Linked DNA regions of Macaca mulatta. The protein of the gene in region 1 interacts with the protein of each later gene in a pairwise test. Links are inferred from orthologs where the notes say so. Each region holds a gene or a part of one and is shown on either strand. Other genes may lie near its edges.

Evidence for each region.
Region 2: the proteins of DYNC1I2 (region 1) and DYNLT3 interact in binary tests that used the Homo sapiens proteins (3 or more experiments, as listed by UniProt). The two-hybrid records come from large-scale screens. The link is inferred for Macaca mulatta from reciprocal best matches to the Homo sapiens genes DYNC1I2 and DYNLT3.

The regions. Positions count from the first base shown.
Region 1 is NC_133417.1:76,580,968-76,589,879, forward strand, and holds the start of DYNC1I2 (cytoplasmic dynein 1 intermediate chain 2), read left to right. Parts: upstream 1-3,162; 5' UTR 3,163-3,166; intron 3,167-8,912. UniProt on the Homo sapiens protein: Acts as one of several non-catalytic accessory components of the cytoplasmic dynein 1 complex that are thought to be involved in linking dynein to cargos and to adapter proteins that regulate dynein function.
Region 2 is NC_133426.1:37,662,066-37,670,756, reverse strand, and holds the start of DYNLT3 (dynein light chain Tctex-type 3), read left to right. Parts: upstream 1-3,781; 5' UTR 3,782-3,852; coding exon 3,853-3,882; intron 3,883-5,032; coding exon 5,033-5,074; intron 5,075-8,691. UniProt on the Homo sapiens protein: Acts as one of several non-catalytic accessory components of the cytoplasmic dynein 1 complex that are thought to be involved in linking dynein to cargos and to adapter proteins that regulate dynein function.

The DNA.
Region 1 (8,912 bases):
GGATTCACGCTGCCAAATTTTTGTTTATTTGTTTAGATGGGGTCTCACTCTGTTGCCCAGGCTGTAGTGCAGTGGCATCATTATAGCTCACTGCAGCCTCGAACTCTTGGGCTCAAGAGATCCTCCCACCTCGGTCTCCCACTACAGCCTGCACCACTACACCCGGGTTGGGTTGCCTATACTTTATCTGTGATTTGTGCACCTATATTCATGAGAAAAACTGCCCTGTAAATTTTCCTTCTTATACTGCCCTCGTTTGCTTTTGGTATTAAGGCTATGCTAGCTTCATAAAATGAGTTAAGTCATTTTCTTAATCTGTTTATTCTCTAGAAGAGTTTAAGACTGAAAATCTCTTCTCCTTGAATGTTTGTCTGTCTGTGGTTTTCATTCGATTCCCCTCCTCCCCTCTCCTCAGTCTTCCTTTCTCCCATCTCTTCCTCTCCCTGTTGCTCTCTTTGTTCCTTCCTGCTATATTCACTTTCTTTTTCCTTTCCTCTACCACCAGTAAGACCACCTTTGATTTAAAAGCATTACAAAATTGGCCTGAAGCCCAGGCATCAGGATTTTTATTTTAATCAATGTTTTTAACATTCCCAAATATAACATTTTTGTGTGTGTTTGATGTAACCAATTTGTACTGCCTAGCTGTGAAAAAAGAAATCTTGCAGTCGTCTGAAATAATAGTGATTGCTAAATGAGAATTTCAATTATCTGTTCGTAATTACCTATTTTGAAATATTTTTGAAATGAATTCAGTCCCATTCATGACGTGGTACTTCCAGATTTCTCTGCCTTGTGACACTCAACAATGAAGGGAAACAATTCCAGGATGTAAAGAATACATCAAAATTTAATGAGAACAAGAGCCTTTTCACAAATAAGCTATGCTGATTTTCCAGGTTTTTCTATAAACCTTCAATTCTATGCTTTATGTTTCATAGATATCCTCCCTCTCCTTTCAAATAGCACAAATGCGATTTTCTTGATGGAGCATTATTTCTGGATGGTAAAGATTACTTTAATTCTCTGTAAGAAAAACCTGGGATGTTTCCCCCCTTTACTTAGTTGAAATGTAAATATTTTAAAACCTTCCATATCAATATGGAAGTTTTCTCCCAGTGACTTAGTGGCTAAATACCAAATGCTCTTTACAAAATGCAAATCGCTTATTCAAAATACAATTAAATTATAGCATACATAGTTTATAAGTAATTATAGTCATATAATGTATGTAATTTGGATTTCTTTGGGTAAAAATCTATAAATGCTGCTACATTCAAACCAAGAAATAGTTCTTTTTAGAAATACACTATAGCAAAAATACCATTTTCAGGTAAGATGTAAAGTAAGTAGGGTAGGTCTTTCTGAAAGAATACCAATTAAGCCTTCCTCTTCAGGAATTCTGTGGGGGTCCTGTCAGTTAATTCGGTCATTTTACAATGAGAACAGATACCAACCTTGGAGTCTGGATTAATTCTATGGGTATGAATAATGATTGTTAAGATTACTAGTGTCCATTTTTTTTATCACTTCTTTTGAGCAGTACCCCCTCACCAAAAACAAAAACTAAAACAAAAAACCAAAAAACTTAATTGAATTGAAATATCCTAAAAGAAAGATTTCTGAGTTTTCATAGGTCTAACCAGAAATCCCATTAAACTCAATCTTTCGTGGACACTGTGATAAGTCACCTAGATGTCCGTCAGGAAGGACTTTGTGTTAGTTTCCTAGGGCTGTCACAAAAATTACCACAAACTGAATGGCCTGAAACAACATGGGCTTATTTTTTCAAAGCCATGAAGGCCAAAAGTGTGACATCAATGTGTAGGCAGGGCCTTGCTCTCTCTGAAGGCTTTAGAGGAGAATCCTCTATGTTTCTTCTGCTTCTCATGGCTCCAGGCATTTCTTGGCTTGTGGTTGCATAATTCCAGTCTCTGCCTCTGTCTTCACATGGCTTTTTCCTCTGTGTCTCTGGGTTGTCTCCTCTTCTATCTCTTAAAGGGATACTTGTCATTGGATTTAGGGACCCCCCCCAGGTAATCCAGTATGATCTCATCTCGGGGTCCTTATTTACATCTACAAAGATCCTTTTTCCAAATGAGGTCACATTCACAGGTTTTGGGGGTTACGATAGGGACATATATTTTGGGGGGCCACCATTCAATCCATTGCAGACTTATTCCCTGGACTCCTGGGAGAGGTGCCAGAAGGAAGTCTCAGCTGTTAGCCTTCTTTGGGGATTGCCTCAGCTGAAAGAAGCTGCCTTGTCCATGGTCAGGGTTCCTTCTAGGGGGAGCTCATAGCCAACACTGGTCAAAATGGGTACAAAGGCCAGCTTGGAGCTATACTTCAGAACTACTCCAGTTCCAGAGCTCACACTATGGTGAGCTGAGGCCTTCATTAGGTCTGCACCAGGCTCAACTTCTCCTTGGCCTTCGTCCTCCCCTTCCTCCTCTCCCTGGTCCTACTGGTCAGTGTCTTCTGACTCAGCTTCGCAGGGAACCCAGCCTGAAACACTTAGATGAAAATCATTCATTCATTCATTCATTCATTCACTCCTTTATTCATTCACTCATTCATTTTATTTCATTCGATAAACATTTATTGAGTACCTACTGTGTGCCATGTGCTTTCTTTCACAAGTATGGCACAATGATCATATTTGACTCTTTTGTAAATCAGGATCTTCTAGTGCCTCAAACTAACCATCCTGAACCTCATTTGTTAGTTGTAGATCTTAAAGGTTTAAGACAGGAACTCATAATTTATCCTAGAATTATCTTTTGTTTTGAATAAATCCCAGCCTAACATAAGCTTTTTTCTGCAGTGATATGCAATTTTTCCCCCAATAAAGGTACCTACAAAATACATCACTTGAGTGGTCTGATCTATCAGGATTTGTCTAGGTTCTGGATTTTCTGTGTTGTTTAAGGTCTATCTTTTAACCTTATTAAAATGGGTAAGTGGAGAAGAAATGACAGACTTCCAGTGTTAGAAGCACCACAGGATTTCAGAAGGTTAAAGCACTGCCAGAACCAAGGAATTATCCAGCCAGCCCAAATTCCTTGTATGACAAATGAGAAAACTGGGAGTTCATCCCATAGCTGCCTTCACCATGTAGAGTATGGGACTTCTATCTGGTTGTTGTATATATGGGGCTGGGGGGTGTCTTTCCATTTCATTTGTAAACTCCTTCTGGGCAAGATCTGAATCTCATATTTTTCTGCCCTGCTCAGTGTGTAGAAAAATAAGAAGTAAGATTTTGAATAAATAATTGGTTGATTGAGCCCTCTTCATCTAGCAAAACTGCTCCAATCATGTAGGTAGTCAAGGGTCTTAATTTTTTATATGCAGACCTCCAGAGGAAATAATGTCCCTCATCACTTGAATCCTAGGCTTAACAATAATCACTGTCAAGGAGTTCCTCCTAAAAAATAACCCAGCTTTACAGAATAGCCCCAAAATGTCATAAATATGCACATAATTTGTACTAGCCCTTTTCTTTGTAAGTAGTTCACAGATAATAAACCAGATTGGAAATAAAATCAGTACTTTTTAAAATTTGAAATGTTTAAATAGCTACTTAACCATTATTTTTACTCCACCTCATTCCATAAAGGATTCAAGGTCACTTACAATAAGACACACATTTCGATATTTTAAAAAATAAACATGATGTGAGAAAACTGAAATAGAAAATAAGATAAAGTACAGCATAATGTTAATATCCAAAGTTCATAAATTGCTAGTGGGAGGCCTGAAATCTGGCTCTGAGCATTCCAATTAATTGATAATAACTACTTTTATAGAAGGCAATAGAGTGGTCCAAGTTCCTAGTCATCAAAGTCTACTTCAGAGTCTACTTCATCCGAGATAATAAATCTAAGTCAATCACAGTAATCCTACCTCTTGTTAGTAAGTGTTTTAAGAATCTACATATGACTGAATTCTGATTAAACAGACACAGGAGAAAGTCTGTGGGGGAGGAGAGATTTCCAGGAAGTCTCCTCATTCTTAAATGAAAGACAAGAAAGGTTTGGTTCCTTTCTTTCACTGGATGGTGTTGTGGTTGGATATCATGCTTGGAACTGACAAGTGTCTTGCTATCAGCCTGAGAATGAAGCCAAGACACAGAGCAGGGAAAAGCCAATAGAATCCCTGCCAAGAGAAACTGATGCCCTGACAAGGTGCCCTGGAGCCACATGACCTCCGCATCTCTGGTTTTGTGAGTTATGACATTTTCTTTAAGACAATGTGAGTTGAGATTTTCTGTTACTTGCAGCCAAATGCATCCAAAATGATATAAAAGTAGCATTTAAGAACAAGGGTTTGAAATAGACCTGCTTCTGCCATCTAACTTGTACTATGTAAACTTGAGAAATAATTGAAGTCTTTAAACATGAGTCCTTTTGTCCATAAATCGAGGTAGATAATGGCTACTATACAGGGTGGATATAAACATGTAATGGAGAAAAAAGCATGTAAAGCGTTTAGAGAAACTAATGCATAGTAAGTGCTTGATAAAGAGATGATTTTAACACTGAGGAGAAATACAGATAATCAATACACAATTGTCTGGCTCTTTGAAGTGACGATGGAGCTTTCTGAGGCTGTAATTCAGGCTCTTAACCTGTCTTTAGTGACCATGGAAGACAACTGACCACTTCTTGCTGTAAAATAAGCCATTACACTGGGTGCGGTGGCTCACGCCTGTAATTCCAGCAATTTGGGAGGCCGAGGAAGGTTGATCACCTGAGATCAGGAGTTCGAGACCGGCCTGGCCAATATGGTGAAACCCTGTCTCTACTAAAAATACAAAAATTAGCCGGGCATGGTGGTAAGCACCTGTAGTCCCAGCTACTCGGGAGGCTGAGGCAGGAGAATTGCTTGCATCCAGGAGGCGGAGGTTGCAGTGAGCCAAGATTGCACTATTGCACTCTAGCCTGGGTGACAAAACAAGACTCCATCTCAAAAAAAAAAAAAAAGAATAATATACTGTATTTAATTCTACTTAGAATAATATACTGTGTAACATTTCTGGCACTATAGAACAATTTATTCCTTTTGTATTTGTAATTTTTTAAAAATCATGCAAATCAAAAATACAGAAGCAAAACGAAAATAAAAATAAGATATAAACCACCCCTCAGAGATAACCACTCAGTATTTTGGTGACTACTTTTCCTGAACACACACACACACACACACGTATATTCATATATATAGGATCATTATCTATAAACACTTATGTTAACTGGGGTTTTTTTTTTTAACATAACATTGCAAGTACATTTCCATATCAACAAACACATTTCTGCAATTATATTTTTGCAACATCATTTATAATCTCTACATAGTACTCTATTATATAGAATCTGTATGTTCTATATTATAAGTAATATGCACAACCAAATCATTAGTGTGGGATCCTGAGGCTTTTCTAAGTTTTTGTTGTTATAATTAAAAGCACAATGATAATTGTAGCCAAATTCCTTTTAAACCTTCTTATTAAACTCTTAAATTCCTTAGTGTAATTTCTGAAACATGGACTTGCTGGTTAAAAGTATTTGTACAAAAGGCATATAGCGTGGTATAATGGACACTGGAGACTCAGAAGGAAGGTCCATGGGAGGTGGGTGAAGGATAAAAAAACTACATATTAGATACAATGTACACTAAAATCTCAGCCTTCACCATTATACAATTCATTCATGTAACCAAAAATCACTTGTAACCCCAAAGCTACTGAAATAAATATATATATATAATTTAAAAAATAAATACTTAAAAAACAAAGTATTTGTACAATGTTCTTTTAAACATATATTGCAAATTTCAAAATGTACATTTAAATATTTTTATAAATAATGTTTCTACTTACAGAAAATTATATTGGCCTTTTAAATAATTACACCAAAATTTTCAGTTTATTTCTCTATACCTAACAGCATCATAACAAGGTTATTACATTATGATGGTGATGAACTTACTATTCTGAAATTGTAGGTTTTATTTTTACTCAAAGTTAAAATTCTTCCATTATTTACTAGCTTCACGCTTTCTTGAATTTCTTCCACACTTGGAATACCAATAATTGGGGTTTATAGCCCAATCTTTTGGTCTCTTAATGTAGGTAAATCTCTTTTGTAGTTCTATTCATCTTTTGATTAACTTGATCATATTGCATAGAACAGTAAGCTGCCACTATTTAAGTGAATTCAATGAAGGCAATGCTAGGCCTTTTTGATTTGCAAATTTACTTGAAAAGCCATGTCCATATAGCAGTTAAATGCTCAGTCTTTTGATATTAGCACAGCATGAAAAGCAACAGTTTTTATATTTTGGTGGCATACATTTACTTTAAAAACACACATACATATATATAGGCATTTCCTACCATGATATGCTTTATTGCTTATAGACATGAAATAAAAAATTTAGCTACCAAGCCAAATATTTGAAAATGTGTTTTGTTATTGCTTCTTATCTGTATAAAAGACCGTAGTTGCTTCCTTTTCTGCTATCTCAACCTTAGCAAACAAGAGTACAATTTAGCACTTTTCCTTGATGATTAACTGTCTAAAGGCCAAGAAAATGTCGATGGTTAGGCAAGGGAGAGAGTATTTCTACTTTGTATTTTAGCCTATATTCACAGCATAAACTACTTCATTCACACGAAACTGAGAAAAAGCTAGAAAAATATTACCATTTTAGGGACAACTGTTATGACATGCATGAGTCTCCCTAAGTAAATCTAATGTAAATAAAGAAGATGCATTAAAAGATAATACACTAATTCAATCTACTTGATGCACTGTGAACATGAGATTTGGCAGTTCATTTTTATGGGGAAATCTGATATTTAGAAATATAATAGATTGCACACTGGTATTATGACTCTAATCATCTGAATGAAACAATGAGCTAATTATCTATAATGACTCACTGTTATACTTTCAACACCTTTAGGGATCAATTTCACCCAAAAGTGAACCAAGCCAGTACCACATGGTCTGCTCTCAAGCAGTGACCTCTCTGATTCAAATGCAAAATGCTATTGCAGATGAAATTCACTGGTACAAAATGTTCAATAGAAAGATTACATTTCCAGTGGGGCAGAAAGATATTTGCCAGCATCTCATTAAGGCCTCGATACAAAGTCTTGGATTTCAATCAGCATTGAGATAGAATGACAATAATCCAGTAGCAAGAATGTAGCTAGGGCTTTGTTTCTGTAAGCATTATGCATTTTTCCCATCTAAAATAAAATCTTGAAAAAAATTCCAAGAGAATAGATATGGAAAGAAATAACCTTGTAGTTATTTTAGTGTCAGCCACAGAACGCGTTCTGTGAAGCCTCTGCGGCCTGATAACTTTGCCTCTCACTCAGGGAGGAGAAGGTGACATCATTTACATTTAGGCCAACACGTGAAAAAGGCTGAAATTCTCTGCACTGTAAATGTGGCATCAATTCTTCCACCTCTGCAGCCCCACCTCCCATCATTAATATAGTCCAGCCATTTTATCACCAGCATTTTCTTTTTCCCCTAGAAGTAATTTACTGACTTAATGGAAATGTGAGAGATTTGCTTTAACAGATTTTACGAATTTAAGCAAAAGGTCCTGCCGAAGATTTCTCTGTGGAGAGAGGTTATTCTTTGGCCAAGAGACATTTGTAATAGTTCAGTAATCAAAAAAGATTTGCCTTGGACTTGCTAATTTGCTCAATCTCTTAAGTAACAAAAGGGTCTAAACTCTGCCTCTCAATTTAAAGTGAGCCCCATAAAAGCGTCCAGCTTAGCAAGAAATCTAAGAATCCACAATGTGAGCTTTTAACCCCATTTCAATTTGTGCAAGTGTAATATCATTAGGGACCGATTTCTACTACAAGGTAGTTGTGGCTTTTCAGGGAATTTAGTTCTTTATCTAAGAGGTGGCGAGGTAGTGGAACACACGAAAGAGGACAAAGTACTGCAGAAATAAAGTTTGTTTTTCCTGAAGGATCAGAATCCGGGAACATTGCAAGAGAAAGCCTCATTCCTATGAAACTTTTGGTTAAATACTGCCAAGTAAGAATTGGCAAAATCTGGATTGGACTTTGATTAGGGGGTGAAAAATTCAACTGTACTCTTCTTAATTTTCATGGTTGAATCTGAAAAGGATACAAGTAGGCAGAACTGTGTCACTGTCTCCACAGCTGTGTCCCCAGTATCTAGAACAGTGCCAGGCACTAGGATACTCAATAAATATTGTCTGAATGAATAAACTGCAATAGAACAGAGTCGTCCTCATTGTTTAGTCATGGAAAGAACAGTTGCTTTGCCTTGGGTTGTATCAGTAGCCAGCCATTCTTTGACTGACTTTTTGGGGCTGGTTGCTGCGGCTCCTTCTGCATCCAGACACCTTTTTCTGGAATCAGCTAATCCAATTGTGCAACTTCATGGGAAAATGTATAATGAGTAATGGGGCCTCTTAACTGGGAAAACAAATAGAAGAAAAATAACCTGTGAATTTATCATCTTGCCCCAAACCTTGGTACGCTAAAAGAAATCTACACAATTGAGAGCCATATTTGCTGGAATTCCTGAAACAGTTTTGATTTGAAGTATCTTGTCTCCCTGTCCCTTAAGTCATTGACTGACCATGTGCTCATCACAGACTGGAAGGTAGGGAGAGCAAAGAACTAAGAGAGCAGGAAGGAGGTAAGAGGCTCTACCCAAGCTTAATTTGAACTAAATTATCTCCTCTAGATATGTCATTCTGTTAATTATTACAAACTCCATCACGTATGGCAAGCCTCCTACAGATAAGGTAAAAAGGTAATACCAGGAGCTGCAGGACTAATTATGGTTGCCTCATAAAGTATGTATGAAAAATCGGTAGCTAAGAAAATACAACACATTTTGGAAACT
Region 2 (8,691 bases), on another chromosome or scaffold:
GCTTGTGGTTCTGCAAGCTGCACAGGAAGCAGAGTGACTCCTGCTTCTGGGGAGGCCTCAGGAAACTTACAATCACGGTGGAAGGTGAAGGGGAAGCAGGCACATATAACATGGCTGGAGCAGGAAGAAGAGAGAGAGGGGGGAGGTGCTACACACTTTTAAGCAGCCAGATCTCATAATAACTCACTCACGGACACAGATCCAAACCATATCAGTCTGGTTATATAAGAAAATAAATGTCATTATTTCAGCTCATCCTATTTGGGTTTTCTGTTACTTGCAACCACAGGATGTTAGTTAATAAACCCACTTGTAGTTTTAAAGCATGACCCCCAAATTATTTGACACTTCTCCCATTGAGAAGTGGATTCTGTGTCCCCTCCCCTTGAATCTGAGTGAATGTTTCAATGATTAGAGTATGGTAGAAGGGCCACTGTGTAACTTGTGACACTAGGTGATAAAAGGTGACATATCTTCTGCCATGCTCGATGGAACACTCATGCTTGGAGCTTTGAGTTGCCATGTAAGATATCTGGCCACCCTAAGACTGCCATGATGGTAAGAAGCCAATCCACTCATTGGGGCCATGTGTTGTTGCTCCAGTTGGCAGTGCTAATATTTGATTCATCCAAGCCCAGATATCAGACATGTGAATGAACAAGTCTTCAGATGATTCTGGTCCCCACTATTGAATTTCCTCCAGTCTTTGAGTCTCCCCACCTGAGGCCCCAGACATCGCAGAGCAGAGGCAAATTATTTCTGCTGTGCCTTGTTCAAATTTCTGATCAAAAGAATCCATGAGCATAATACAGTAAATAAACTGCTAAATTCTGGGGTAATTTATTACACAGGAATGATAACTGGAACAACACTTCTTCATCTCACTTTATATGCATCATGAATGATCACATAACACAAACTTGAGATGTGCTGGTGCAGCCCTTGCAGTATTAAGATTAGATAACTTAAGGATTTAACCCACCCAGGCATAGAAACAGTTCTTTAGGGAAATAAAACTGATGATGTTCACAAAGACACTACGAATCCTTCTCATGAATAGACTGCTGGAGTTGCTCATAGGATGAAAACTTTGGTAAAAAGAAATTCTTTTTCTTTTCTTTTTTTTTTTTTTTTTGAGACGGAGTCTCGCTCTGTCGCCCAGGCTGGAGTGCAGTGGCCGGATCTCAGCTCACTGCAAGCTCCGCCTCCCGGGTTTATGCCATTCTCCTGCCTCAGCCTCCCGAGTAAAGAGGATGCGCTTCCTCTATGATTACAGTCACTTTTCTGCAGTAACCCTGCATGATCCACAACTTAGGAGAACCAATAACAAACACCATATTGTCAAGTAAACAGCCCTGTTTGGTTCTAAGTTCATAAAATAAGAGCCTGAGATTCAGAAGCCCGGGAGTCCAGGTAACACCCATGTGTCCTATAGAAGTTACTTTACCTTTTCACCTTCAGTTTTATTTGTAAAATAAGGGAGTTGGACTAGAAGACTAATGGTTTCCAACTTTCATTCTGGGGAGCAAAATAGAAGTGTTGTGGTTGGCTGAATAATGCTCCCCCTCAAAGTTGTCCACATCTGAATTCTGAGCATCTGTGAATATGATACAGAGTGCAAAAGACACATGGCATATGTGATTAAATTAAGGGTCTTGAGAGGGAAACAGGAGGGCAAGAGTTATACATCTCTCCTTTGTAGAGATGCCTCACATCTCCTTTGAAGCAGAGGCAAGACAGGAGAAAAGATACTGCTGGCTTTGAATTTGGAGGAAGGGGTCATGAGCCAAGGAATGCAGGCAGTCTCTAGAAGCTGGAAAAGGCAAAGAAACAGAGTCTGTCCTGGAGCCTCCAGAAGGCATGCAGCTCTATGGGCCCATTTTAGACTTCTGACCTCCAGAACTGAGGCAGCAGAATAGGGTCAGGAGGCAGGGAACTTAAAACTGTTTCAGGCTGACTTCCTAGAACTAAATTGAAAGGAAAACCCTGGCCGGGCGCAGTGACTCATGCCTGTAATCTCAGAACTTTAGGAGGCTGAGGCAGGCAGATCACCTGAGGTTGATGAAGTCGGGAGTTCGAGACCAACCTGACCAACATGGAGAAACCCCGTCTCTACTAAAAATACAAAATTAGCTGGGCGTGGTGGTGCATGCCTGTAATCTCAGCTACTCAGAAGGCTGAGGCAGGAGAATTGCTTGAAACCGGGAGGCGGAGGTTGCGGTGGGTGAGCCGAGATTACGTCATTGCACTCCAACCTGGGCAACAAGAGAGAAACTCTGTCCCCCAAAAAATAAAAATAAAAATAAAAGGAAAACCCTAAACTTCCATGCCTAAGTAACAAAAGGACCAGAGGCTATTCCCTTTGCAAACCCCCACCTTTTCTGCGGGGCCGATGGGAAATTTAAACTACCTCTGATTGGTTGCTTTTTGCAACCAATTAGACATTTGCAAATTGTTTTTTGCAACCAATCAGACACTTGCATAGGAGTGTAACTTTGTAACTTCAGCCTCTGATTGGTTGCTGTCTGCAACCAATCAAACTGATTATGGGCCAAGTCTTTGAATAGAAGTGCAACTTTGTAATTTCATTTTAGCCTCTGATGGTTGCTTTCTTGCAACCAATCAGATGTTTGCATAAGAGTGTGGCCTTTGTAACTTCACTTCAGCCTCTGATTGTGGGCTACTACTTCATTTACATGGGGTGCACACCAAGTGGCCAATGGGAAACCTCTAGGGGGTATTTGAACCACAGAAGATTCTGGATCCCGGCCCTTGAGCAGCTTCTCTGCCCACTCCCACCCTGTAGAGTGTACTTTCGTTTTCAATACATCTCTGCTTTTGTTGCTTCATTCTTTCCTTGCTTTGTTTGTGCGTTTTGTCCGATTCTTTGTCCAAAGCGCCAAGAACCTGGACACCCTCCACTGGTAACAGAACTGTAAGAGAACAGGTCTGTGCTGCCTTAAGGCACCACATTTCTGGTAATTTGTTACAGTAGCAATAGGAAAGTAATACCGTGGTTAAGAGCTTGGGCTCTGCTATCAGACTACTTGAGCTCAAGTCCCTTTTCTACACCCTACTGGATGTATGACCTTGGGCAAATTAAATTCTCTATACCTCAGGTTCATCTTGATAAAAGCAGTGATGGAAGAATTAACTCTTCTGACTTATTGTGAGGTTTTGAGGAAGTGTCTAGGATCCTCTGGAAATTAGTAACTTATTTTAAAATTACTAATTTAAAATTACTACATTTATTTTAAAATGTAGCCATTGTGCTCTTGCTGAGAAGCATCTACTTTAGGAGCCGTGTATACAGCATCTCATCTGATCCTTACAACCAGTAGTGAAATAGGTATGATGGTAAGTTTCCATATGAGAAAACTGAGGTTGTGGGAGGTGAATTTTTCCAAGTAACATAGCTAGTAAGTGGACAAATCAAAGTGACTGATTTACCACGAAATTAACTACATTTATGTGCCAGATGATGGTGAATGAACAAATACATGCAAGTAACCACAGCAGTGGGCACTCAACCAATAGTGTGGAGTCTAGACTAACTGCCACAGGTCACCCCATCTGATCCACACTGGCGCCATTCCCAGTTCTTTAACATTCATCCCTTGTTTCCAGAAAGGGCAGAGGAAGCAAGGAAGAAGTGCGTGGCCTGAAGTGACGCCTGGCGTTGCCCGGAGCCCGCCCAGCGCTGCCAGGTGACGCCACTGCGACACAAAGGCGGGGAATGCGTAGGGAAAGGCCCTAGGCCATAAACGGGGGTGGGGCCTCCCCGGAGGCCAGTGCGCGGCCGCGGTGCTCCACCGGCGCGTCGCTCCGCCCCCAGGGAGAGCCGGCGCTACCATGGAGGAGTACCATCGCCACTGCGACGAGGTACCGCCCCTTGGCTACCTGGAAGCGCCCCCCACTCCTGCCTTCCTCTGCGCGGGGCTCTTGCCGAGTGGTCTCCCAGCGAGGGCGGCCCCAAGAGTTGGGGTGCGGCGTCCTCCGAGCCCGGGTCCTCTCCGCAGGGCCAGGGATCCGCCCCGCCCTACCCGTTCTCCCCACCCCGAAGTCCTGAGATTCGGGGTGGCAGGGGTGGCCAGGAGCGCGCGGATCAGACGGTGGGGTCGGGGCAGGGTTGGGAGGACGAGGCCTGACTTGGGTGCGAGGAGTGGGCATGGGATGACGGGCGCCGCCCTCCTACCGGGCGGGCCTCGAAAACGGGTCTTCCCGCTGCTTCCTCCGTCCCTTGGCTTCCTCAGTGCAGGTGCTGCAGCCCCCATGGCTCGGGGTCTCGGGGTCCTGGTGGCACTGCCACTCCTGCTCCCGGTGATGCTTGCCTGGGTGGGCTGGAAGGAGGTGCTTTATGGATTACGAGCCCTTGCTTACTGACTCAGGCTTTCCCCACCCTCACCAGAACCCCATAATGTCAGTTGTCATCTTCCTGTTATTGATGGGGACTCCAAAGAAAAGACTTAAGTTGTCAGACCACTGTATAGTACTAAAGTGATATTAATCTTGAGTTATCAAGTATTTTCATAGTCTTTAATTTGGGAAAGGAATTTTTGCCTATAAATTTTTGCCTAGCATAAGTTAAAAACAAAATTGAAAATAGTCTATTAAGCATTCTCTTCTTATGAACCACTTTATTCTCTCACTTAGCTGAAACCATATCTATATTCTTATAACACATAACATCTTCATAGCCACCTCTTGCTTATTTCCTACGTGTTACAATACAATGATTCTTAATCTAGGATGTTCATTAGAATCACCAGTATAAAGCACTTTGAAAATATATATATAGACTTGCAGGCTCTCCCCAGACCTCATGAGTCAATCTCCAGGGAGGTAGGTAGGGAAAGCATTCAGTATTTTTAAGTGTTTAGGGGCAAGATTGGCCCCTTCTGTAGACCCGATGCCCTTTATCACTGTGGTCTCCTGTCACTAACACCTGTCTAGGCCAGCCTAGGATATTCTGTGTAGCGTCATATCTGCAAGCCTGTGTTGAAAGCAGCTTTACCTTTTGTTTCCCCTTTAGGTTGGCTTCAATGCTGAGGAAGCCCACAATATTGTCAAAGAGGTGAGTCATACATTTTTCTTCTCTTGAAGCTTGCTGCATTGGTGGAGACTTTTAAAAGCTATATTTTGAGTTTCAGTACAAACTTAGAAACCTTACTGTTAAAAGAACAAGATTTTGCTTTATTTTATTTTATTTTATTTTATTGTTTTTTGAGACAGAGTCTTGCTCTATCGCCCATGCTGGAGAACAGTGGCACGATCTCGGCTCACTGCAACCTCCACCTCCCGGGTTCAAGCAATTCTCCTGTCTCAGCCTCCCAAGTAGCTGGGACTACAGGCGTCCACCACCACACCCGGCCAGTTTTTGTATTTTTAGCAGAGATGGGGTTTCACCATATTGGTCAGGCTGGGTTCGAATTCCTGACCTCAGGTGATTCACCTGCCTTGGCCTCCCAAAGTGCTGAGATTACAGGCGTGAACCACCACACCAGGCCAAGAACAAGATTTTAAATATTTATCCACTAATTCTTTATAGGGGTCCTTCTGTGTTTTGTTGTGTGCTATCAGCATCTTGGGGCTTATTCTGAAAGAGATGCTTAAGGATTTTCTTAGTCTAGAAAACTGGTTTAAAATTGATGCCCTGTCTTTTGGATAAAATAACTTTTATTCCAGAAGGCAAACATTATTTTAAATGTTAATGCTATAAAAGTGTATGTATGTGTATATATATGTGCACACATGTCAACTTTTATAATGTAAAGTATATGTATAATATATATGTATATTATGTAAAATAGATAACAAAAGCCCTAGAAATATCTGCCTTTGGGCATGTACACTTTTTTGCCCAATATAATTGGAGAAATGATCACTTAACATCTTTTAAATATTGATATGGTAGTAAATCAAAATTTTAAGAAAAATATTTGAAACTCCTTTTAGGCAAATAGAAAAGAAATTGTCTTTGGGAGTTAATTCTGCAGGGGAACTTTCATTATTTTAGAGGTATCACATACAGACTACAGTATGGGAAAGGTATTTTTTTAACACCCAGGTCTGGCCTTACACAGCGAGAATTAACTCAAGGTCTGAGAGCACTAGACAGGCACCTGAAAATCCTGCCATATTTTAATACTTCAGAATTATGCATTCTATCTATGTAGCCTGGGAGTATTTAATTATTAAAAGTAGAAAGCAAAGGTTTTTAATACCTTTACAATGTAAAAGCACAAATGAGGGAAACTGGGAGGTGGAAGAGGGAGTGGAGGTAATGAGAAGGGAGTGATCTTAGTTTTCAAAGTGGAAAGTCAGGAAAGACTGTCCTTGGTTGATGGAACATAGAAGAAAGAATGCTGCGTTATTTGGGATTCCATTTAAATAGTGCCTTCTTCCTTAAGTTCTGAACCAAATGAAAAGAAAAAGGAGCCAATAGGAAGAGAACAAAATACTACCTTTATTACTGATAAAAACTAGTTTGGTGATTGTAGCTTGTTTTGCTAACTCCCATTCAGTTCAGCCCTGGGAAGAGTCATCCAAGAGAAAGTTTGAGTCAGCAGAGAGAAACACTTGTTCAGGCTGGTGCCTTTCATTTGTTTGGGTAGAGAGGGAAGGAGAAACGAAAGCCCAAGTTCAACACATTTGGGAGACTGGCTCTCCCAAATGAGATGTTAGAACAATGGTTATCACCCACCAACCAGGTAACTCGTTCCACCTCCATGGGGAGGAATAACTGACAGGACAGGAGGCCAGGAATGTTAAAGAACAATCCTCTGTGTGGAAGAAAACATCTAGAGTGGAAAAGAAACATGTTTCTAACCATGTAAATAGACCTAAGTTAAAAAATTGTGATTTCACTATATTGAGAGAAGGGGGCAGGTGGTCTGAGGGAACCAGATTCTCATCTATCATAGTAGGAGTTATATGGATGTGGCCTATAATTCATGAATCAGGAAATAGTGACATAAACATTATTTGGAGATACGTAAGTAACCCTTAGAAGAAATAAAAACAGTTGTACACTGATGAGTTTCCTCTGGGGAATGGGACTGGGGATGGGAAAGGAAAGGGTGGGAAGGAGACTCCTCTTTTCGTTCTAAGCTTTTCTGTTCCACTGGATTTTTCAAACCATATGTCTGTTACTTTAATATTATGTCAAATTAAAAGAGTCATGCTTTTTCAACTGGGAAATGCGTACTCGGCAGTGGCTAGGTGGTGCTAGAAGTCACTGGATGCATTTTGGAACATCAGTTTTTCTTGAATATTTGTGAGAGGGAATTAAGTAATATAAGTAATTTAACTGAAAACATTTTTAAATAAAAACAAACTCTGATGTAGTCAAAAGCAAGCTTCTCTTGAATTTTTATATGAAATATGAGACTACAAAGAAACTCAGCCTTGCTACAGGTTACTTGCAGCTAAATGTCTATCTTTCCTCTTCCCATGAACCAACCCTCTTTTGCCATTGAAACATTTCCATTGAGGCATTGGAAATGCCTGAGAATGAGCAACATTTTAAAACAGTTCAGCACTTCCTAGATGATTACATAATTTCAGCAGTTATTTCTGATTTCCTTACTGATCTTATTGTCTTATTAATCTTACTTTCTTTCCTTTAATTTCTTGCTCTGAGCCCCTATGCTGATATGTTTTTCCTTCTGAACTCAGAGACACCCATTTATCAGTAATATGCATACATTTTCTTTATTGTTAGTAATAGAAATTGCTTCCCAATAAAATCGTCAAAGAAAAAATGAGCTACAAATGAAATTAACTTAGAACTTAGTGTAAAGTGTATTTAAGATACCCAGCGAGTATATCAAAATCAATATTGCTTCAACAACATTTGTTGAATACCTGCTAAGTGCTAAGTCTAGCGCTGAGAATACAGAGCTGTTTAAGGACCTCATTGTCTCATGGGCCTCCGTGTTAATGTAATTAATTAGGCTAAATGTTAATTAATAGTAATTAGCAGGGCTATTTACAGTGGCACCCACACCCCATGGTGTTTTCTGCTGTTTAGAGCAAAATTTGGAGTGGTCCTACTAAATAACCTGAAAGAAAAATGACTGCTCTTACTTTATCCTTAAGGAAAGGTGATCTCAAGAGAGGAATAGGTTTATCCAAAGGTCACCAGCTTAGGAATGGTAAAGCCAGAATTAAAATTCTATTCCCCTGATCCTTAAGCCACTACCCTTCCTACTTTCTCATGTTATTGAGCTTTCTAGGAGAAAAATTTAAGCCACATTACTTTTGTCAACCCTGCTAAAATATTTAATTTCTCTTTTTATATTTTATCATTAGTGAAGATTTTATACTATCCAACTTAAGATTTTGTATTAGTGCCTTTATAAATATTTACTGTGGTCTAATCATAGTAAATGAAGCTGCATGTGTGTGTATGTGTGTATTATTAAGCTAGATTCTAAAAATGAATTAAATGAGTCTAATTATAGTAAATGAAGGTGCATGTGTGTGTTAGATTCTAAAAATGAATTAAATGAGTGCTTTATTATCCAATTTTCATCACTCAAATGTAAAATATAACAGCAGCAATATGATAATAGTAGTTAACATTATTTATATGCTAACTCTGTGCTAGTCACTGAGCACTTGGTATTCATTGTCTCATTTCATCCTAACAGCAACCTGGTAAGATGATGCTGTTATCCTTTCTATAAG